Saccharomyces cerevisiae S288C: one gene and its partners. Changing the gene in region 3 together with the main gene of any one other region gives a genetic interaction. Each region holds a gene or a part of one and is shown on either strand. Other genes may lie near its edges. The genes, in order: AFG3, MGR3, MGR2 and YLH47.

Region 1 (5,089 bases), on a different chromosome or scaffold from region 3:
ATAGCGAAAAGGACCCAGAAGATGGAGGACCAGCCTGCCTTGTTTGCAGTAAACGTTGTCACGACCAACGACGCTATTAGGAGAAGTATTGAGGCCCAGAAATGTAGGCCACGGAAAAATTTCTGTCTTTGGGCTGTCTTCAAGTACGTGTGGATGCATTCTATCATGGTTTCGTAGTTGGAGTATCTCTGCAAGATCAGCTCTCTATCATGAGTCTTCGCACGCTTAACGGAGGTGGATGGACGGGACTCTGTGCCCTGTGGGACGATGTTAAGGGTGCATGAGTATGCAAAATGGTCAGAGACACTGCAGTCCAGGTGAGGGATCCGTTCAGTGAACCTGACACCTGCGTCTACTGTTTGCAAGAAATCAGGGTCGATAAGAGCATAATCCAACCTGCATGCCTCATCGGGTTGTCTTTGGGCCCTCCATGTGTTGAGCAGCGAATCGCACGTGGTACAGCCCTTAAGCAATTGTTGCAATGGAGACAGACGAGCGATCACCGCCAAGTCTTGCTTCCCATGCAATTGCTCCCAGGAGTCGACCAGGCCGGCCTCCTGCGTGAGAAATTTGTGGGGCAGTGAGCCCGGTCTGGAGTTTAAGTCACCCACCACAATCACCGCATAACCGGCCTGCCTGTAAAGCTTAATGAGCCTGCTGAAATCCCAGGCCTGACAAGATCTGTGGCACAAGTAGGCGGCATCACCCTGCTTGGCGTATGGGGCGTGCATGTGACTGTTCATTATTGCAATGGGGCGGGTTCCTGTGTTCAATACGGTGATTGCTATAGATTTCCCTACGTACCAGTCGCCACGGAACACCGCACTCGGTCTACCGTTTATCGGGAACCGGTAAAGAAAGGTCGACTCTATCGGGACCTTGGACAGTATGGCCAACCCAGGCCCCGTCAGAATACCAGAATGGAACAAACGCTGATACGGATACTTGGAGGCACACGCAGAAGCTAGATACTTCCAGTCTTCCACACACCAGATTTCTTGTAAGGCAATCACGTCGTAATCTTCGTTTTCATTACTATCTCCACCATTGGGCAACAACTCGTCAGATATTGGCGTAAGCATTGAGTGGCCCGCCAATTTATCAGCAATTGCTCTGAGTCTTTCTTTACGGTGTTTGGAGACGTATTTTAACCCCCATGTATTGAAGGTCAGAAACTTTATGGAATACGCTTTACTATTATCGGACATAATTGCGTTGGTCCCGTTCAGTGCTTCAAACTCAGATTGACCATCTTCCTTCCTCTCGTGAACATCTCTGTCTTTTCTGTTGTACATATATCTGCTTTTTTTCCCTTTTTACGCGGAAAGCGCAAATTTCCTCGAAGATTTAAGCCAAACCAAAATAAATCAAACCAAACCAAAACAAAACAAAAACAAAAACAAAAACAGGCTAAGCCGATTCAATTAAAACCGCTCATACGTATACAACACATACACACATACAAGAATGGCCAGCATAGACGCATTTTCGGACCTTGAGCGCCGGATGGACGGGTTCCAAAAGGACGTGGCCCAGGTACTGGCACGTCAGCAAAACCACGCGCGCCAACAGCTGCAACAGTTCCAAGCGGAAATGCGTCAATTACATAACCAACACCAACATCTCATAGATGAACTGCAACGGCTTGCCACCCAGCGCACCGCTCTGCAGCAACAAATACATGCGGCCCAACAAGCTACAAATACCACCAGAGAGCAGTGGAGAAGCTATCACGAGCGTGAATCTGAGTTATCTAGACGGCAGTCGACCTTAGCAGCCCAATCGCGCGAGCTGGACTCGCTGCTGCAACAGCGTGGTAAAGAGTGTGTCCAATTACGCGCACGTTGGGCTGCGCAGTCGGGTAACGATGCCGCAGAGGTCGCACTGTACGAACGGCTGTTGCAGCTTCGTGTACTACCCGGAGCCAGCGATGTGCATGACGTACGTTTCGTATTCGGCGATGATTCACGCTGCTGGATCGAAGTCGCGATGCACGGAGACCACGTGATCGGAAACTCTCACCCGGCGCTGGACCCCAAGAGTCGGGCAACACTTGAGCACGTGCTTACCGTCCAGGGCGACCTCGCGGCATTTTTAGTCGTGGCCCGCGATATGCTTCTGGCATCTTTATAACGCCTTTATACGCATCTGTTCAGTTTATTCTGGGCCTATGATTTAGATGAGGAATAAATTGGTTCTTACTGTCTATACATAACTTTTACAAGGACCCATTCTATATTAAAGGAGATTAACGCAGTCTTCAAATAAAGGCATCATCCACTTATTTTATAATATACTAAGTGATGATGATGTGGCAACGATATGCAAGGGGTGCGCCACGCTCATTGACATCACTCTCATTTGGTAAAGCTAGCCGCATATCAACAGTGAAGCCAGTGCTTCGCTCGCGCATGCCAGTTCACCAGCGTTTGCAGACGTTATCTGGTCTGGCAACCAGAAACACAATACACCGTTCTACCCAAATACGTTCCTTCCATATCTCATGGACAAGGTTAAATGAAAATAGGCCAAACAAAGAGGGTGAGGGCAAGAACAATGGTAATAAAGATAATAATAGCAATAAAGAAGATGGCAAAGACAAAAGAAATGAGTTTGGTTCATTATCAGAATACTTCAGATCTAAGGAATTTGCTAATACGATGTTTTTGACCATCGGATTCACAATTATATTTACTTTGCTCACACCTTCCAGTAACAACTCAGGAGACGACTCTAACCGCGTCTTGACTTTCCAGGATTTCAAAACAAAATACCTGGAGAAGGGTCTTGTGTCCAAGATTTACGTCGTTAATAAGTTTCTCGTAGAGGCCGAATTAGTCAATACAAAGCAAGTTGTATCGTTCACCATTGGTTCAGTAGATATTTTTGAGGAACAGATGGACCAGATCCAGGACCTCTTGAACATTCCTCCTCGGGATCGTATCCCCATCAAATACATTGAGAGATCTTCTCCCTTCACATTTTTGTTCCCCTTCCTGCCCACCATCATTCTGCTTGGTGGCCTTTACTTCATAACCAGAAAAATAAATAGTTCACCACCAAATGCCAATGGTGGTGGTGGAGGAGGCCTCGGCGGCATGTTTAATGTTGGAAAATCCAGAGCAAAGCTCTTCAATAAGGAAACAGACATTAAAATTTCATTTAAAAATGTTGCCGGTTGTGATGAAGCTAAACAGGAAATCATGGAATTTGTTCACTTTTTGAAGAACCCAGGTAAGTACACTAAATTGGGTGCCAAGATTCCACGAGGCGCTATTCTTTCTGGACCCCCAGGTACCGGTAAGACTCTCTTGGCCAAGGCCACCGCAGGTGAGGCGAACGTGCCCTTCTTGTCAGTATCAGGTTCTGAGTTCGTCGAAATGTTCGTTGGGGTGGGTGCTTCACGTGTAAGAGACTTGTTTACTCAAGCAAGGTCTATGGCCCCCTCGATTATCTTTATAGATGAAATTGACGCTATCGGTAAAGAAAGAGGCAAAGGCGGCGCTCTCGGTGGCGCTAACGATGAAAGAGAAGCTACGCTGAATCAATTATTGGTGGAAATGGACGGATTCACTACTTCCGACCAAGTCGTAGTCCTTGCGGGTACAAATAGGCCCGATGTGTTGGATAATGCTTTGATGAGACCGGGAAGGTTCGATAGACATATCCAAATTGATTCTCCTGATGTCAATGGTAGGCAGCAAATATACCTGGTTCACTTGAAAAGACTGAATCTGGATCCCCTTCTTACAGATGATATGAATAATCTTTCTGGGAAATTGGCTACGCTTACTCCAGGTTTTACTGGTGCAGATATCGCTAATGCTTGTAATGAGGCTGCATTAATCGCTGCCAGACATAATGACCCATATATCACTATCCATCACTTTGAGCAAGCCATTGAAAGAGTCATTGCGGGACTAGAGAAGAAAACAAGAGTCCTTTCTAAGGAAGAAAAAAGGTCAGTGGCCTATCATGAGGCAGGACATGCCGTTTGTGGTTGGTTTCTAAAATATGCGGATCCACTTCTGAAAGTAAGCATCATCCCGCGTGGACAAGGTGCTTTAGGCTATGCCCAGTACCTACCACCGGATCAATATTTGATATCTGAGGAGCAATTCAGACATAGAATGATCATGGCTCTTGGTGGCCGTGTTTCTGAGGAGCTACATTTTCCATCGGTGACTAGCGGTGCTCATGATGATTTCAAAAAGGTTACACAGATGGCAAATGCCATGGTTACATCCCTAGGAATGTCACCCAAGATTGGCTACCTGTCGTTTGATCAGAATGATGGAAACTTCAAAGTTAACAAACCCTTCAGTAATAAAACGGCAAGAACCATTGATTTAGAAGTTAAATCTATAGTAGATGATGCACACCGAGCTTGTACAGAATTGCTAACCAAAAATTTGGACAAAGTCGATCTTGTCGCAAAAGAATTGCTACGTAAGGAAGCAATTACTAGAGAAGACATGATTAGATTATTGGGTCCAAGGCCATTCAAGGAAAGGAACGAGGCTTTTGAAAAATATTTGGATCCAAAGAGCAATACCGAACCGCCTGAGGCACCTGCAGCAACAAATTAAAGGGGAAATAAAACGGTGGCTTCTTCATCTCACTTTATATCTTTACCTGATCCCCCTTCCAGGATCCTATCTTATTTTCTCATTCTTTTAGTAATAATATACATGTATATATATATATTGATAACGAGTAATAAAAAAAATAAAAAAAAATAATACATATTCGAAAACAATACTGCTTTTTAGTTCTCAACTTAAAAAGTTTCCTCGTCGATGATCAAGTTGTTGCTCACGCCAACCTCACCTTCGTCGTTCTGCATTATCACATCATGGTTACTACCTTCGTTACCATTGACCTCGCCATTGCTGTTCGCATAGCCGCCCTGATTCGGCACAGTTCCATGTTCACCCAGATTTTTATCATTCAATTCATCCTCACCATCATTCATTTCAAATCCTTCTGCAGTAGCATATAAAATACTTTCCACCTTCTTGACGAACCGTAATAATGCTCCCCCATTTCCATTACCATGGCCGGTGATGGTCTCATCATTAAATTTATA
Region 2 (5,170 bases), on a different chromosome or scaffold from region 3:
CGTTTGTTGAAAAAAATTTCATCCACGCAACTTTTTTTTGGATGTGTAAGACCAATTTTTTTGGCATTGGGCTATTCCTTTAATTGTGGATTTTCTACAACTTGAAAATTTTCCTATATTTAAGACTGCTCCTTTGGTTTTCCTAACTCGTTCTCTCTCTCTTTTTTTTTTCCAAAAAATCCTTATAACACACTAAAGTAAATAAAGTGAAAAATGGCATCTAACGAAGTTTTAGTTTTGAGAGGTACCTTGGAAGGTCACAACGGTTGGGTCACATCTTTGGCTACTTCTGCTGGTCAACCAAACCTATTGTTGTCCGCTTCCCGTGATAAGACTTTGATCTCCTGGAAGTTGACTGGTGACGACCAAAAGTTTGGTGTCCCAGTTAGATCTTTCAAGGGTCACAGTCACATTGTCCAAGACTGTACTTTGACTGCTGACGGTGCTTACGCTTTGTCTGCTTCTTGGGACAAGACCTTGAGATTATGGGATGTTGCCACCGGTGAAACCTACCAAAGATTCGTCGGTCACAAGTCCGATGTTATGTCCGTTGACATTGACAAGAAGGCTTCCATGATTATCTCTGGTTCCCGTGACAAGACCATCAAGGTCTGGACCATCAAAGGTCAATGTTTGGCCACTTTGTTGGGTCACAATGACTGGGTTTCCCAAGTCAGAGTTGTTCCAAACGAAAAAGCTGATGATGACTCTGTCACCATCATTTCTGCCGGTAACGACAAAATGGTTAAGGTATGTGATATATTTTCTTTCCATGATAGAATATGATGACAATCGAGTAGAAGAAGAAAAGTGGATTTGTGTATGCCATTCAAATGATGTAATAACATATTTGCTACTTCAGATGGAACTTTGAGTTCCGAATGAGACATACCAATTATCACCAAGATCTCTGATGAATGGTTTAGCATTACTCTGCTCTTCTCTTTACTCGTTATGTCAAAATGGAAACTTTTTTTTTAAATTAATTTTGTTCCCTTACTAACAAAAATGATATAATGACAGGCTTGGAACTTAAACCAATTCCAAATTGAAGCTGACTTCATCGGTCACAACTCCAACATCAACACTTTGACTGCTTCCCCAGACGGAACTTTGATTGCTTCCGCTGGTAAGGACGGTGAAATTATGTTGTGGAACTTGGCTGCTAAGAAGGCTATGTACACTTTGTCTGCCCAAGATGAAGTTTTCTCTTTGGCTTTCTCTCCAAACAGATACTGGTTGGCTGCTGCCACTGCTACCGGTATTAAGGTCTTTTCTTTGGACCCACAATACTTGGTCGATGACTTGAGACCAGAATTTGCTGGTTACAGCAAGGCCGCTGAACCACATGCTGTTTCTTTGGCTTGGTCTGCTGACGGTCAAACTTTGTTTGCCGGTTACACCGACAACGTCATTAGAGTTTGGCAAGTTATGACTGCTAACTAAGAATATGTATAAAGTTCATTTGTTCTTTTATGTATCTTCTAGTTATTGGTCATGTTTAAAATGGTAAAAATAAAGAAAATAATTTCTATATTTTAGTGTATAATATAATCGTCATAGATTTCGAAGTAATGAAAGAAAGGTTATCATTAGGTACTATAAACTATGCTTTCTGTTTGCTGCGAAAATACATATGTACAGTTGAAATATTTATTATTTTTGTCTTCCTTTATTTCCTTTATTGTGGTATTAGTTTAAACCCTCTTTTTTGGCCGCTTTCAAGACTGTCGTCTTTTCTAGTTCCTTTTCAGCTTCTGCAAGGAGTTCATTAAATTCAGTCTCCTTGGCCATAGTGATCGAATCTTTGAATAGTTTTTCAGCTTTAGCCAAAACACCTTCATGAAGGCTTAAAACCCCCATTCCATAGGTAGATAGAGCAATTGACTGTGCAATTGAAGGATCCAGTTGATCCTTCACATGAAACCTAATTTTTCTGTTTCTTTTGGCAAACGCAATAACGCTGTCGTAACATTTTTGTGCTCTTTCCAGACATAAGTCACGATTTTTGCGTACGAATCTAACGGCTTTTATGTATGTTCCCATATCTAACTCTTGGTTGGACTCTTTACTTTTCTTTTGCTCTAATTGATTTAAGTCAGCTTCTAGCTTTTCTGCTTGAAGATAGAACAATGACCCCAAATTTGCCTGTGATAGCAATATCTGTCCTGGTGGCATGTCTGCCATAACCATCCATTCCACACTAGTTATCTTGCAACTTAGAGCTGCAGCTATGTCTTTTGATGACAGACAATAAGCTGTATATAAATCTCTCGCAGTAAAAAATTCTTCCTTAAAGGGTTCCCAAGCGCTGCTATTCTTTTCCAGATCCAAAATCATATAGCCTTGCTCATCAAACTTAATATTTTCCTCACTAACAAATGTTTTAAAATCATCATTAGGGTCTCTATTGATGTCTTTTACCATCGAGAGCTTCTTTTTTCTGTTTTCAAAAAATTCCTTCAACTCTGGCGATTTGCTTAAAATTTCCTCTTGAGCTAAAAGTAAATGTTGTAGCAATTTTCTCTTGCCACTTTCTATGTCCTTATTGATTTCTAACGATTTAATCAAGATTCTCAAGTCTTTTCTTAAAACCTCGCCTCTTTCACTCTCATCAACTTTGCCAGGAACATTCAGCGCTTCGAAAAACCGACTTAATAATTCTTGGTACAAATTTTGGGCTTCTTCAAGCATATTGAGCTTTTCATACATTTCAGCAATTTTCAGCTCTATTCTGGTATAATCATCTGACAATAAATCGACATGAGAGCGATCGCATTCATCCAACGCCTCAATATACCGCCTTAACGCTTCTTTGTAATTAAAATCCATTTTATCACTTTCTTGCCATATGGCTTCCTTCCAGACTTTTTGCGCCGAAAGAGGTAGTTTTTGTTTCCTGGAGTTACTTTTAAACCAAAAATATAAACCTACTATGGAAACCCCAATAATAGAATACATTAAACTACGATTTTTTTTTTTCAAATTGGGTTTAGGTGCCATCTGTGGTCGAGTTGGTGAGTTTGCTGGAGACTCCGGTATGGGGGCCGATTCTTGCGTATTGAAGTTTGATGCAGGCGGCCTTATATCATGTAGGTGGCGTATATGAGCAGGGTTCGTAGTCCACGTTAAAATCTTGGAAGCAAATAGATGTCTCTTATGTAACCTTTGCGATAAACGCATTCCTTGTAAAAGCATACCGAAAAGGAGGGACTTTTAGCCTGTTAAACTGAGATCTTCCTGCTTGTGTTTACACCTTTGTGAGTAAATGAAAGTAGCCCACTTTTGCATAAAAATGTTGATGATTTGTAAATGCAATTTTGTGAGGCCGAACCCCCACGAAAAATATCTGAATGAAAGGGATCAAAAAAGGGAACAAAGCAATGAACAGTTGAACCAAGAGACTTAATTAAAGTATACCTGATGCTAATACCAGACTTTCATAACCCAAGATGTGTGGTAGGTTTGCCTTAGCTTACGATAGCGGAGATTTGCCGCAACTTCTAAGAGATTGGAACTTACCGGTTAATACACCCAAGGACGCCTCATCGAACAGCCAGCATCCACATGACGAGGAAGACACCAAAGATCAGCCTACCGTTAGTAAGGATATCTTCAAGGCCTCTTACAATATTTCCCCTACAAACTACTCTGCGGTATATCGTCCTGATACTAAAGCAATACAATTTATGAGATGGGGCCTTGTACCATTCTGGACCAAGGACGTTTCACAATTCAAGACCTATCGTACCTTTAATGCCCGTTTAGAGAATTTACAAGAGAGCAAAATGTGGATGAGACCCTGTGAGAAGAAAAGGTGTGCTGTGCTTATGAGCGGATATTTTGAATGGAAAACCGTAGGGAAAAAGAAGACGCCTTATTTCATTTCTAGACGAGACGGCAGATTGATGTTTGTAGCAGGAATGTATGATTACGTCGAAAAGGATGATTTATATACGTTCACCATAATAACTGCACAAGGCCCCAGAGAGTTAGAATGGCTCCACGAAAGAATGCCTTGCGTGCTGGAACCAGGCACCGAAAGTTGGGATGCATGGATGGATGTGGATAAAACGACATGGAGCACTGAAGAACTGGTAAAGCTGCTGAAGCCGGACTACGATGAATCAAAGTTACAATTCTATCAAGTTACCGATGATGTGGGGAAGACTACCAACACCGGAGAGCGGCTGATAAAACCGCTTTTGAAAGAGGATTCGGACATGTTCAGCGTAAAGAGAGAAAAAGAAGAAGCCTTGCTAGAAAATGATAACGAACAAGGTATTGATAATCGAGGTGTAAAGGGTGACAAATCGTTGAAAGGCGAAGATGTTTTTAATCAAAAGAAAAGCCTCAAAAGGAATTCCTATGATGGATTAAAAAAGAATGAAGAACAAGAGGAAACAACTTTACCAGAGGAAGGAAGTATAGGTGACCGAGTGAAGAGAGAAGAAGCTAATTTGTCACCCAAAAGAGAGGGAAACAGAGAGAAGAGAAATATAGTAAATATGTTGGGAAACCAGAAAGACTCCAGAGGCAAGAAAAAAATAAAAAAATGACATTTTTTTAGTTTGTTTATCATCGATAGTCTATATAATGTTCGTTGTTACTTATTTTATTTAGTTTCTCAAGTGACTATTGTGAATCCGTAATAATTCACCACATAAATACAGTGAACCGCATACAACAATTGGCCGTCTTTGCTCGTCTGATACATGCGCCAGAGAAGGCAATACCTGATGTAAATCATTTTCAATCACTATCTCCTTTGTGTATCCTTGAGTCAAAATAAAATCTTTTATTTCTTCAGGATCAGTGGCATGAATCCAGGGCATACCTTCCACATTATTAAACCGAGTAAGAATTACTTGATCTATAGGCCTCAATAATGGCTGGAGCAGCGGCTCCAAGTTTTTCCCATGCGTTACTGCCATCACAAAGGTCAAAGGCTGGTTTCCGTACTCCTTTCTTAGGTACTTAACTAACTCTACTGCAGCTGAGCCATTGTGGGCACCGTCCATTAATATAGGCACTGTCCTATTACTTACTTTGTCAAAGCGATAATCCATACGATATAACCTTCCTGGCCAATCAACCTTCGCCAATCTCGTACTTACTTCATTCTTGGTAATATCAATAAGTTCGTTCATTTGTAAGTAGTCTAACATAC
Region 3 (4,424 bases):
TATGCGAGACTGACTTGGGTGGACATTTGGCTTATCTCGACAATGAAAGTAATTCCTGGTTAACAAAGCAAGCTGCCGAGTTCTTGGGCAGCTTTGATGAGTTAGTTTTATAAATATGTTCTTAGATAAAATTCCTTACACATAATAATCTGTTCTTTTATTTCTCTATTTACCATCCTCCCCACGCTGTGCTTTCCAATCCGCCGATCCACTTTCTCTACCACGATTAGATGATTTCGAAGCGGCACTGACGCTTTCGGATTTCGTTTCTTGTGTCTTTCCTCTAATCAGCTCTATCTGTTCCTGCTCATCGCGACATGCAAGTTGGTATATCTCGTCATCATTTAACGAATACCTCAACCTCTTCGTTATAAATTGACAAAGGAATTTTAAATCTTCTTCCTTGATTTGATCTCTGGGCAGCTCGTTTTGGAGGATATAGCGTTTACTAACGTCAACAACGCCATCTTTACCGAACGCAATACAGTAACTCATTTTCTTGTTCCAGTTAATTGAATAGATATATGGTTGGTCGAATGATTGCTCACAGGAGTCGACATGAACCCACCTATTCAAAAAATTTGAAAAATATTCACACCAAACATGATCTTCTCTATTCCAGACGTAGCGAACATCTAACCCAAACGACTTCAAAATCAAAGTAAATAAATTGCACCATTCACCGCATCTTCCCTTTCTAGTTTCCAGCAACTTAATTGGATCGTTATAACGAGGAAATCTAGTGATATTTCCGCATCGGTTGCATTTATAGATCTCAACAGTTCCGCAATTGAATTTAGATTCCTCTCCATTGGGCCCTTGACTGCCCAGAGGTGTCATATTTTCTGAAGTGTTCTGGCCACAATGATTACAATCTGGTTTATTGCACCATTTGAAAAAATCTTGTTTGAAGTAGCGAAGCAGCTCCTTTACTAGATAATCCGTGTATATATTTTCCCCCTCTGCATGCCCATCTTTGGCAAATTCCTTATCAACATTTTTATATATTAGATCCAGATCCAATGTCTCCAGGACTATAGAATGCCATGAAGGATTGTCATAGACTGTACAGAGATGTTGACTCTGACCTAGGACTCCTTGTGCGAATTGATTTGTATGGACTAAATTCTGAAACCTTATATTCTCTACAGGTGCAGCTTTCTTGAATTTAGACAGTATGAAATCCTTATACTTAATTAACAACATTTTGGCTATTGAATCAAAATCTATGTTATTTTTTTCGTATACCTCTCCCATTGCTACTCCACCTGTTACCTTCTTCAGGTTGTTTTACGTCTTCTATATCTGTTCCCAACGCATCCTTTTTTCTTCGCTACAATACAAGGAAGATTACACTACGCAAAGTTTCGAAAACATCAAGAAGCATAGAACAGTTGAAACTAGGCAACAGGACTGTTTCAATTACATGATTGAGAATTTATAAGCGCATGAGACCACGTGACCAAGGCTTTTTGGTTTTAGGGTTTACTTACTCGGTACTCCTAATTAGTCTTGCTACATTTTACTGGTTACGCAACAATGACTCTTTCCTGCACTACTGGTGTGTATTACTGCTATGCCCTGCGACTCTCTGGCTGTGGGCCCTCATAGCCTGGTGTGACAGTGAAATGTTCGCAAGTAGTAAAGATGAATAATCGTTTATAATCTTATTTACAAGTCAGTGCATAAAATGATATAATATCACCTCACGCATGCCTATTTTATACATGTACTTTATATACCTCCCTTTTTTTTAACGCATTTCTATTATAAAACACTTCTGCTTTCCTATCCTCAAGATCAGTACTCGATCATCTATCAGGAAAGGAGCCAAGTTAGAAATATTTTCGTTTACTTTAGATTTTGAATGATGCAGATACACGCTTCCCTGGGAAAGTTTTCTTCTGGCTTCTGATACTGAACAATTTACTAGTTTACAAATTAACTTTATTAAGTCAATCTCTCTATCAGCATACTGCAAAATTCTGGCTTTTTTACATAGATCAACTAACTTCGCAGCAGATAAAGTTCCGTCATAACGTCCAAAAATAATATTAGAAAGCGCTTCTGAATCCGATCCGGAGCCAACTCCATATAACATATCTGTGACTTCTTTAGCCAATAAAGTTTGGCCATAACGTAGACTGGGTGATTTGATATGCGTTTCCACAATTTTTTTGATTTCACTTGAGTTTAAAAACGTAAAGATCTTCAAGAACTTGGGTACATCAGCATCCAAAGTATTATAAAAGAACTGGTAAACATCATACGCCGTATTGATTGAGGGGTCAATAAAAACAGCATTGCCTGCACTTTTCCCAAATTTCTCTCCTGTAGCCGTCGTCAACAAGGGCACAGTGATACCAAATGGCAAACCCTTATTCTTTATAGGCTGTATCCTATTGATGAGATCGATACCGGCTGTTATATTTCCCCATTGGTCGTTACCACCTACTTGTATAGTCACATTCTCTTCCTTATACAAATGGTAAAAATCGTACGCTTGTAAAACTTGGTAAGTAAATTCGTTAAATCCCAGACCATTTTTGGTTTGAAGCCTCGAAGAAATTGAATCCCTCGCCAACATAGATTGTACCCGAATGTGCCTACCAAAATCAGCTAAGAAATCCAACATTTTGATGTCTTTCCACCAGTTGAAATTATTCCTTGGTGTATATTTTCCGGAAGGTACATCTTCAGTGAGAGCACATCGGTTTCTGTAATATTCTAGGCCATTTTTGAAAAACCTTTGTAATTGCTGCGAGATGGATGCCACATTGCTTTGCCTAATATCGTTCTCCATAACGTCTCTTTCTGTTTTCCTACCACTTGGGTCCCCAACTTTCCCTGTAGCTCCACCTATCACAGTGACAATGTCGTGACCTTTTACGTAAAAGTGTAATAAAACCATTAGTGGAACTAGATTTCCCAAATGAAGTGACTGAGCTGTGGGATCCACCCCGCAGTATAATTTGATCTTATCGTTACCGTTCAACTTCGTCCGAAGGAAACTCTCTGGCTGTGAGACCTGGGACACTAGACCCCTTTGTTTGAGTTCGTCTAAAATATTATCGCTTCGAGAATCCGATGTGCCCTGTACTTCTAAAGCACTAGGCTGTGAATAAAATCGAGATTTAGGCAATGTTATTGCACTTAGTCCGGAATAAGTCACCAGAGGCACAAGTCTCCTACTACTATTGACCAAATTACTACAACTTCGTAATTCGAGCATGATTCACAATGTCTACCTGTAGATTGCTGTGTTCAATCGGAAACTGGAAATTCTTTCTTAACATTATGAGCCAACCACTTTTTATTTTCTTTTCAAAACTCCCGAACAAGACCAACATTACCAAACAGACTCCACTACTTTTCCATAAGAAGGAAGCACAGAACACCACACAAGATCATATAGCACAAATAGCGCAACAGCTTCAAGTCCAATATTAAGATATAATGCCTCCTCTTCCACAAAATTATGCGCAACAGCAGCCTTCGAATTGGGACAAATTCAAAATGGGGTTGATGATGGGTACTACCGTCGGTGTCTGCACAGGCATCCTATTTGGTGGATTTGCCATCGCAACTCAAGGCCCAGGTCCTGATGGTGTAGTTAGAACACTAGGGAAATACATTGCTGGTTCAGCGGGTACCTTTGGGCTATTTATGTCCATCGGGTCTATAATCAGAAGTGATAGTGAAAGTAGTCCAATGTCCCATCCTAACCTGAACCTACAGCAACAGGCAAGACTGGAAATGTGGAAGCTTCGTGCCAAATACGGTATACGTAAGGACTGAGGGGGAAATTTTGCATATATTTACGCTTCCCCATCGTTTTCTTAAACATTGTTACTTATCTGCTTATTTTTATTTAAGATATCTATCTACCTGTTTATAACTCTCTCAATACCATGTATTTAAGTTCATCACGACGAGGCTTATTTACTTAATATATTTGTATACGTGGGAAATGTCTAATATGTATACCGGTTTGCATCTTATTTTGGGTGGGGTCACTAACGGCAAGACTCATAAAATAAAGTATTCGCTAAGCACTCTGTTATATTTGTAAACTTTGAGAAAGGAAATGGGAACCAAAGCATATAATAGACAATATGTTAAAAAGACGCTCTAATGCTCTCATTACTTTGAGTAGAACTAAATTGTTTCCCATAACAACCGTTGCCTATTACCACAGGCGCCTCCTCAACCAACAACGAAGAGCTGTTTCAACGTCACCGAAGAAAGAAATCAAGAGCCTAGAAGACTTGGCTAATTTGGATTCTTTGGATGGTGTTGATACTGAACTGATACGCGATTTGATTAATGAGCATACTACAAAATTAAATATCAAAAAGGAGTTAGATATGCTCAAAAAATTCTCGCAAGAGGAAGAATCAGGACATGAGATCCCTGTAAAAAGA
Region 4 (5,569 bases), 420 kb from region 3:
GTGGGCGCTTGTCGACTATTTCTTCCTGTAGAAACCTGACCAAGGTCAGGTTTTTTTTCAAAGACTCGTCGCTAAATCTCTTTAACGACTTTCTAAAGTCACCCTCAGGGATATCAGCGTTTGACTTCAATTGACCTGTCAACAATCCTCTGCCCAGTGGGGAGTAGCAGATGATGGACAACCCCAATTCAGCACATGTTTTAGCAATTCCGTTGTGTAAAATGTCATTACTGAACAAAGAAAGTTCCACTTCAACGCAGGTCAAAAACTTTCCCCAATCCTTGTGAATAGCTCTAATTTGCTCTTCATTAACTTCACTTAATGAAATACCGCCAATAACGCCTTCGGAGATCATCTCAGCAAGCGCTTCGAACGATTCGTAGGGGTAGACCTCTCCTTTCGTGCATAGGGAAGTGTCGATTCTTGCGACTTCGAAGATGTCGATGTAGCCACCAATAGCACTAACTGAATTCTTTACGCTTTGTACAACATCATCGTGACTGCCTCTGGGGGTTAAGGTAGCATTGTCTGCACCACCTTTACAACTGATAACCACATCCTTTCTCAAATCTGGGTATTTCGCAAAGAAGTCGTGAACATACGACAAATTAATAAAATCGGGACCATAGAATTCACCAACGTTGAAAAAGGCCTTGTGCCCACGTTCTCTGGATAACTCAACCACTCTGTGCATGGCCTCGAAAGCCTGCGACTGAGGGATAGGCTCGGCTCTCCAAGTCAAACTCATTAAACCATAGCCAGTATCTAACTTGTGGATGTTGTTTTTCAAATCGGCGACAGACATTTTATTTTTACTTTTTTTGGTGTATATTTTAGTTAATATGTACCTGTTTTTCTATTCTACATAACATAGAAAATGGCAAGGAAAATAATTTTAAGAGAGAGTCCTGAGATGAAGTAAAAAATTTGGTAAATTGACAACCCCTTATATAATAAATGCCTATTCTACGGTTCAATAGACACTCTATTCTTTGAGTAATTTTGAGGGAGAGCAGCAATGATTAACTTAGTACCGTTCTACCAAGTACGCCCTTGATTACCTCATTAACGAACAAAAACGCAGATCCCTTCCTAAGGCGGCCGAGACGGCCGCTTCATCCGTCTCGGCCGGGTGTCATTCTTCTAATATATTTGGTAAAGGACTTGGGAGATGCGCAAAAGGGAGATAGTTGCGCTTTTTTTTTGTCTAACAACTAACGGGTAAAAATGTGGACAGCACGAGGAGTAGTTTAAGAAATAACTTTAAAAAAAAATATTGGCAAAGCAGATATGCAAGAAGTTACGGGTAAGGCTTCTAGTAGTCGTGCATGTGTTGATCCCCTACGTTGATACTATCTATGTGTGCAAACACCAGCTTTACAAACAAAAATTTCATATAGTAGTGTATTTTATTTATCTTATGTACAAAATCTATAGTAGAGTTCACTACATTTTCTTTTCATTGCTAAAAAAGCAGTTTCGTGCAAGTATGTATAAAAAGAATGTTGGCGAGAGTAGCGGAGAGTGTATCGTGCGGTTTAATGGGCCAGGTGAAAACTGGGTTACTTCTCTTTGATGGCAGCGGCTTCTCCGATAGGCTTGGTGTCATGCGGTTTTACGTCTGGAGCAGCCGCATCTATGTTCTTGTCTTGGTCGTCCAAGCTCAACTCATCCTTGACGCTCACAATGGCGTTCTCTTCTTGCTGCTCTTCTTCCTTCATAATTTCTTCTTGCTCCCTCAATTGTTTCAATTTTTGCTTAGCGGATGCCTCATCTTCCTTAACGACGTTTACTTTAACCTCATGGTATAGTTCATCAGGGATACCGATTAAAACGTCACATAATGCGTCGTACAATGACTCCTTTGATTGCACATTACCGTAGTTATAGGCAGTAGCCATGATTAACAGCGTGGATGGGATCTTATCCTTGAGCCTCATGTTCAGCCACAATCTTAGATTCGAATATAACACGCTAGGCTCTACGTCTACACTTCTAATACCTCTGGAGGCGCATGCTGTTTTCAATTCAGAGAGGGAGAGTTGTTCTGCATCCTCGTAATATATAGATAGATCATCTTTTTTCAATTCAAGCATTTTGTATCTGATACGGTAACGTAGCATCACATCAGTGCCGAATGGTTGCAAATTCATATACTTCGCTAATGCAATCAAGTAAGGTCTTGTCACATTATCCAATACAGTATCATCAGTGAATAATCTAGCTACTTCGATTAGCTGTTGACGAGACTCCGGCACTCCTGTAGCACGGACATGTGTGTAGAACCTGTTAAACAAAGCTTTTTGTTCCTCGGAAATATTATTAGGTTTAAAATGGGACTTGTTATTCTTTATGATTTCAGACATTAACTTCCTTGTGTTTCTTAAATTTTCTAGTTTATTCTCGCGTTTTTTACTTGATTCATAAGTAGAAGGAAGTAAATTGGGGAATAACTTTAATGCAAATGGAAGAAGAAGTTCAGCAAAGGGTATAATGAGGAAAGCAGCAAATGGAACCAACCGAACGATATCTTGAGTAGTTCTTTTCAGTTGTAAATTTTCTCTTCTCGTCAATGGGTAGCCTGCAGCACTCTTCATGAGCAATTTGGAAGAAATTTTTATCTCCAACCCCAAAAGTTTGGAACCATCCCAATAATGACGAAGGGCTTTTTGCATCTTAACCTTAAAGGGTACTTTTTCCTTCTCTTTTACTGGAGAGACCTTACTCGCACTTTCTTGGTTTCCGTCTGTCGTTTTTAACTCCTTTTTCGAGCTTTCTGGCACCGAAGAGTTCCAACGATTGAACTTCAAATTAAAAGATGGTATTACTCTCAACCTGCTTACCATAATACGGGGAGAAATTGGAGTAATTCCTGGTGCCGGATGATGGATTGCTCTCTTGATTGGCAAAGACCTGTATTTCAGCATTGTGTCTTGTTGATTTCTTTATGAAATTTTCTTTACTCGAACCTAAATATCACTGGCAAAATACTTTCAATTCGACAAGTGTTACTTTATGCAGTTATCTTGTTATTTCGAAAATTGCCACTTTGCCAATTAGATGAGACTGACACGATCTGAATAATGTCCTCTTTCAAATAAAAGTGGAAAATGTTCGCGCGGAAGCAATTCTGTCCAACGAGAAAAAAGAAACGTGGGAGACAACGGTAACTCGATGAAGGCAAGCAAGTATCATTTTTAACACTTCACTCTTATTATTGCAAGGTGGTAATATAGTTAAGGATTTTTGAATTAAAATTACTTAGACATTCAACTATATACAAGTCTGTTATTTATAGGAAGGTCGCTGTGTCTATTATTTTCTTTCCTCTTCATGAGGGCATTAGAAGTATCCATTTTGAGATTTTTTTTGAGCTTCTGAGAAATGAACGATATTCTTATTTTGATGTATAGAGATATTGGAAGAAGAAGATATAGGTGGACGAACCTTGTCTAGTTATTAGTTATGAGTGAATTTTTCGGCCGGAAGTAAGTTTTGATCCATATTCCCGGACTGTTCCTGCAACTTGGAATTCTCAAGGATGTCGCGCTCTATGTTTGCTTGATTCTTTCCTGAGTCTGTGGCACAATTACATCCCTCTTCTTGTGTAGGTGTTTTCTTTTGATTATTTTCGGAAATCGCAACTTTAGATTCGTTGTTCTTTTCCAGGCGAGTACTTTGATCACTTCCGGAAGTGGTATCGGCAACAGCAATTGGATCAGGGCTGGGTTCGGGATGTCTACCACATTGGCAGTTACCGAAGCCAGGACAGCTCTTCGCTTTCTGAATTTCTCTTTGGATGTCCCACCTCTTTAGCATGGCTATTTTGCATCTATTGAAGAAGACTTCCGATAAAGCTAACCCAGTAATTACAGCAAAAACGTATGTTAAAACAAAAGACATGGTAGCAAGCATCAACATATAAATAATCATCGTAGAGGTAAATACTAAGAACGCCCTTATAATGTCATGAAAGAGATCCATTAAAGATGGAACAAATATATCGCTTAATAAATTTGGCAGCTTAGGTAAACCTTGAATTTCAAAATTATTCTCTGTGTCATAATGTTTTCCTTCGTCTTTGGAGTTTGCTGAAGGTAAAGTGGAATATTTATTTTGCTTGTCCCATTTTTTAAACCAGTGAACTTCAAGGCACCAACTAACGAAAAGCAGTAGTTTGTAGACGAAAGCAGCCACAACAAATAATAAGAAAATACCGAAAGCCTTACCACTATTGTTTGCATGCAAATGGTGAAACAAAACTGGATAGTTTTTATATGTGGGAGTCAGATAATAGTTCATTCCCATACTCATGTCCATATCCATCCCTGAAGAGCTACTGTTATCAGACGATGACATACCTGACATGCCTGACATGCTAGAATCAGAAGTTGTCTGTGCACTGGCGGAGCTTGTTGGTGTACTGCTCATCGACATAGACATACCTGACATTGAACTGCTTCCCATCGACATACTTGCCATTGACGACATAGTCGACGCCAACGTTTTGCTCGCACTGGACATCGCTTCCATGCTCATCGATGACATGCTCGATAATATCGTTTTGCTGGCACTAGACATCGCATCCATGCTCATCGACGCCATACTCGATGCTACTGTCTTGGATGCACTAGACATGGCGTCCATATTCATGCTGCTACCCATATTCATACCTTCCATTTTGAATGTCAAATATAATACACTTTTTTTTATTTTCTATTCGATTCTTCCAACAAATGTAATTTGAGTCGCCGCCGAACTATTACTCCACCTGTTTAAGTTTGTGCTTAAAAGTTTTGTTATGCAAATAAAGCTATGGAGTAGTTGTTTATTAAGAGCACACTGCGTATCTGTTTTACTAATGTGAACTAATCATAAGAGGAATAAAACATACAAGACCCTCTCGAGATGACAATACAACATTTTTTATGTTGCATTTTGTAGCCCGAATCTTGAAAAGTGCTCTTTTCAGGATCGTGCCATTTTTGCTCATTTTACCGTCGTCTTGAGCAAATATCCCATGATTTGCATCAATACATGAGAACATAACCACAGTAACGAATAGTTGAGGTGCAGTTTCGATCCTTAAAAATTACTGAATAATTCATATGCTATTTAGGGAAGTATTTACGTATCGGTTTGTAGTATAGTAGGGAAATGTGCCAAGTTGCTTAGATAACAAAAACGTGGAAAGGCTGGAACGAGCAAAATACGGTTCAAAATGCGGCCTTGCGGAAAAAGTTTGGTTCAGGAAGCTCCTGAAGAGGAACAATCGGACTTGTGTCGTTGTTCCAAAATTTTTCTATTTCTTGTCCTTCACCATCTTGGGAAGAAAACCCTAATATAGAGCCGTATCTCTGCTTAAGATTCATTCCGATGATTTTCAATATTTCCTGCAATACAACGGTTCCGAGCTTGAAAACTTCATTTCTCCTACGAAAATAAGTAAAAAGGTTCTTTACAAGTAAAATAGGATTTCCCTTTGAATGTTCGACAATTTTCTTCAAGTCTTCATTTTTTATGGCGAATCCGTTTATTTTCAGAAAGGCCTCTAGCTGAAGGAACATTT

What was found.
Region 1: mutations in MGR2 (region 3) and AFG3 together harm fitness more than expected from each alone (negative genetic interaction), as found in Saccharomyces cerevisiae (2 studies listed by BioGRID).
Region 2: mutations in MGR2 (region 3) and MGR3 together harm fitness more than expected from each alone (negative genetic interaction), as found in Saccharomyces cerevisiae (3 studies listed by BioGRID).
Region 4: mutations in MGR2 (region 3) and YLH47 together harm fitness more than expected from each alone (negative genetic interaction), as found in Saccharomyces cerevisiae (2 studies listed by BioGRID).

What each region holds. Positions count from the first base shown.
Region 1 is NC_001137.3:189,003-194,091, reverse strand, and holds AFG3 (AAA family ATPase AFG3), read left to right. Parts: upstream 1-2,303; coding exon 2,304-4,589; downstream 4,590-5,089. Other genes in the region: ISC1 (inositol phosphosphingolipid phospholipase), read right to left, coding at 1-1,295; kinetochore-associated Ndc80 complex subunit SPC25, read left to right, coding at 1,468-2,133; microtubule-binding protein BIM1, read right to left, coding at 4,781-5,089. UniProt on the Saccharomyces cerevisiae protein: Catalytic component of the m-AAA protease, a protease that plays a key role in proteostasis of inner mitochondrial membrane proteins.
Region 2 is NC_001145.3:495,732-500,901, reverse strand, and holds MGR3 (Mgr3p), read right to left. Parts: upstream 3,199-5,170; coding exon 1,693-3,198; downstream 1-1,692. Other genes in the region: 40S ribosomal protein RACK1 ASC1, read left to right, coding at 214-750, 1,024-1,446; YMR114C (putative peptide hydrolase), read left to right, coding at 3,453-4,559; FOL3 (dihydrofolate synthase), read right to left, coding at 4,620-5,170. UniProt on the Saccharomyces cerevisiae protein: Component of the mitochondrial inner membrane i-AAA protease supercomplex, which degrades misfolded mitochondrial proteins. Together with MGR1, functions in an adapter complex that targets substrates to the i-AAA protease for degradation.
Region 3 is NC_001148.4:363,760-368,183, reverse strand, and holds MGR2 (Mgr2p), read left to right. Parts: upstream 1-3,456; coding exon 3,457-3,798; downstream 3,799-4,424. Other genes in the region: EEB1 (medium-chain fatty acid ethyl ester synthase/esterase), read left to right, coding at 1-113; PNG1 (peptide-N4-(N-acetyl-beta-glucosaminyl)asparagine amidase), read right to left, coding at 166-1,257; ERI1 (Eri1p), read left to right, coding at 1,449-1,655; tyrosine--tRNA ligase MSY1, read right to left, coding at 1,754-3,232; INA17 (Ina17p), read left to right, coding at 4,116-4,424. UniProt on the Saccharomyces cerevisiae protein: Required for cell viability in cells lacking mitochondrial DNA.
Region 4 is NC_001148.4:785,319-790,887, reverse strand, and holds YLH47 (Ylh47p), read right to left. Parts: upstream 2,928-5,569; coding exon 1,563-2,927; downstream 1-1,562. Other genes in the region: YPR127W (pyridoxine 4-dehydrogenase), read right to left, coding at 1-805; high-affinity Cu transporter CTR1, read right to left, coding at 3,460-4,680; AXL1 (Axl1p), read right to left, coding at 5,217-5,569. UniProt on the Saccharomyces cerevisiae protein: Involved in mitochondrial potassium homeostasis through the mitochondrial K(+)/H(+) exchange regulation.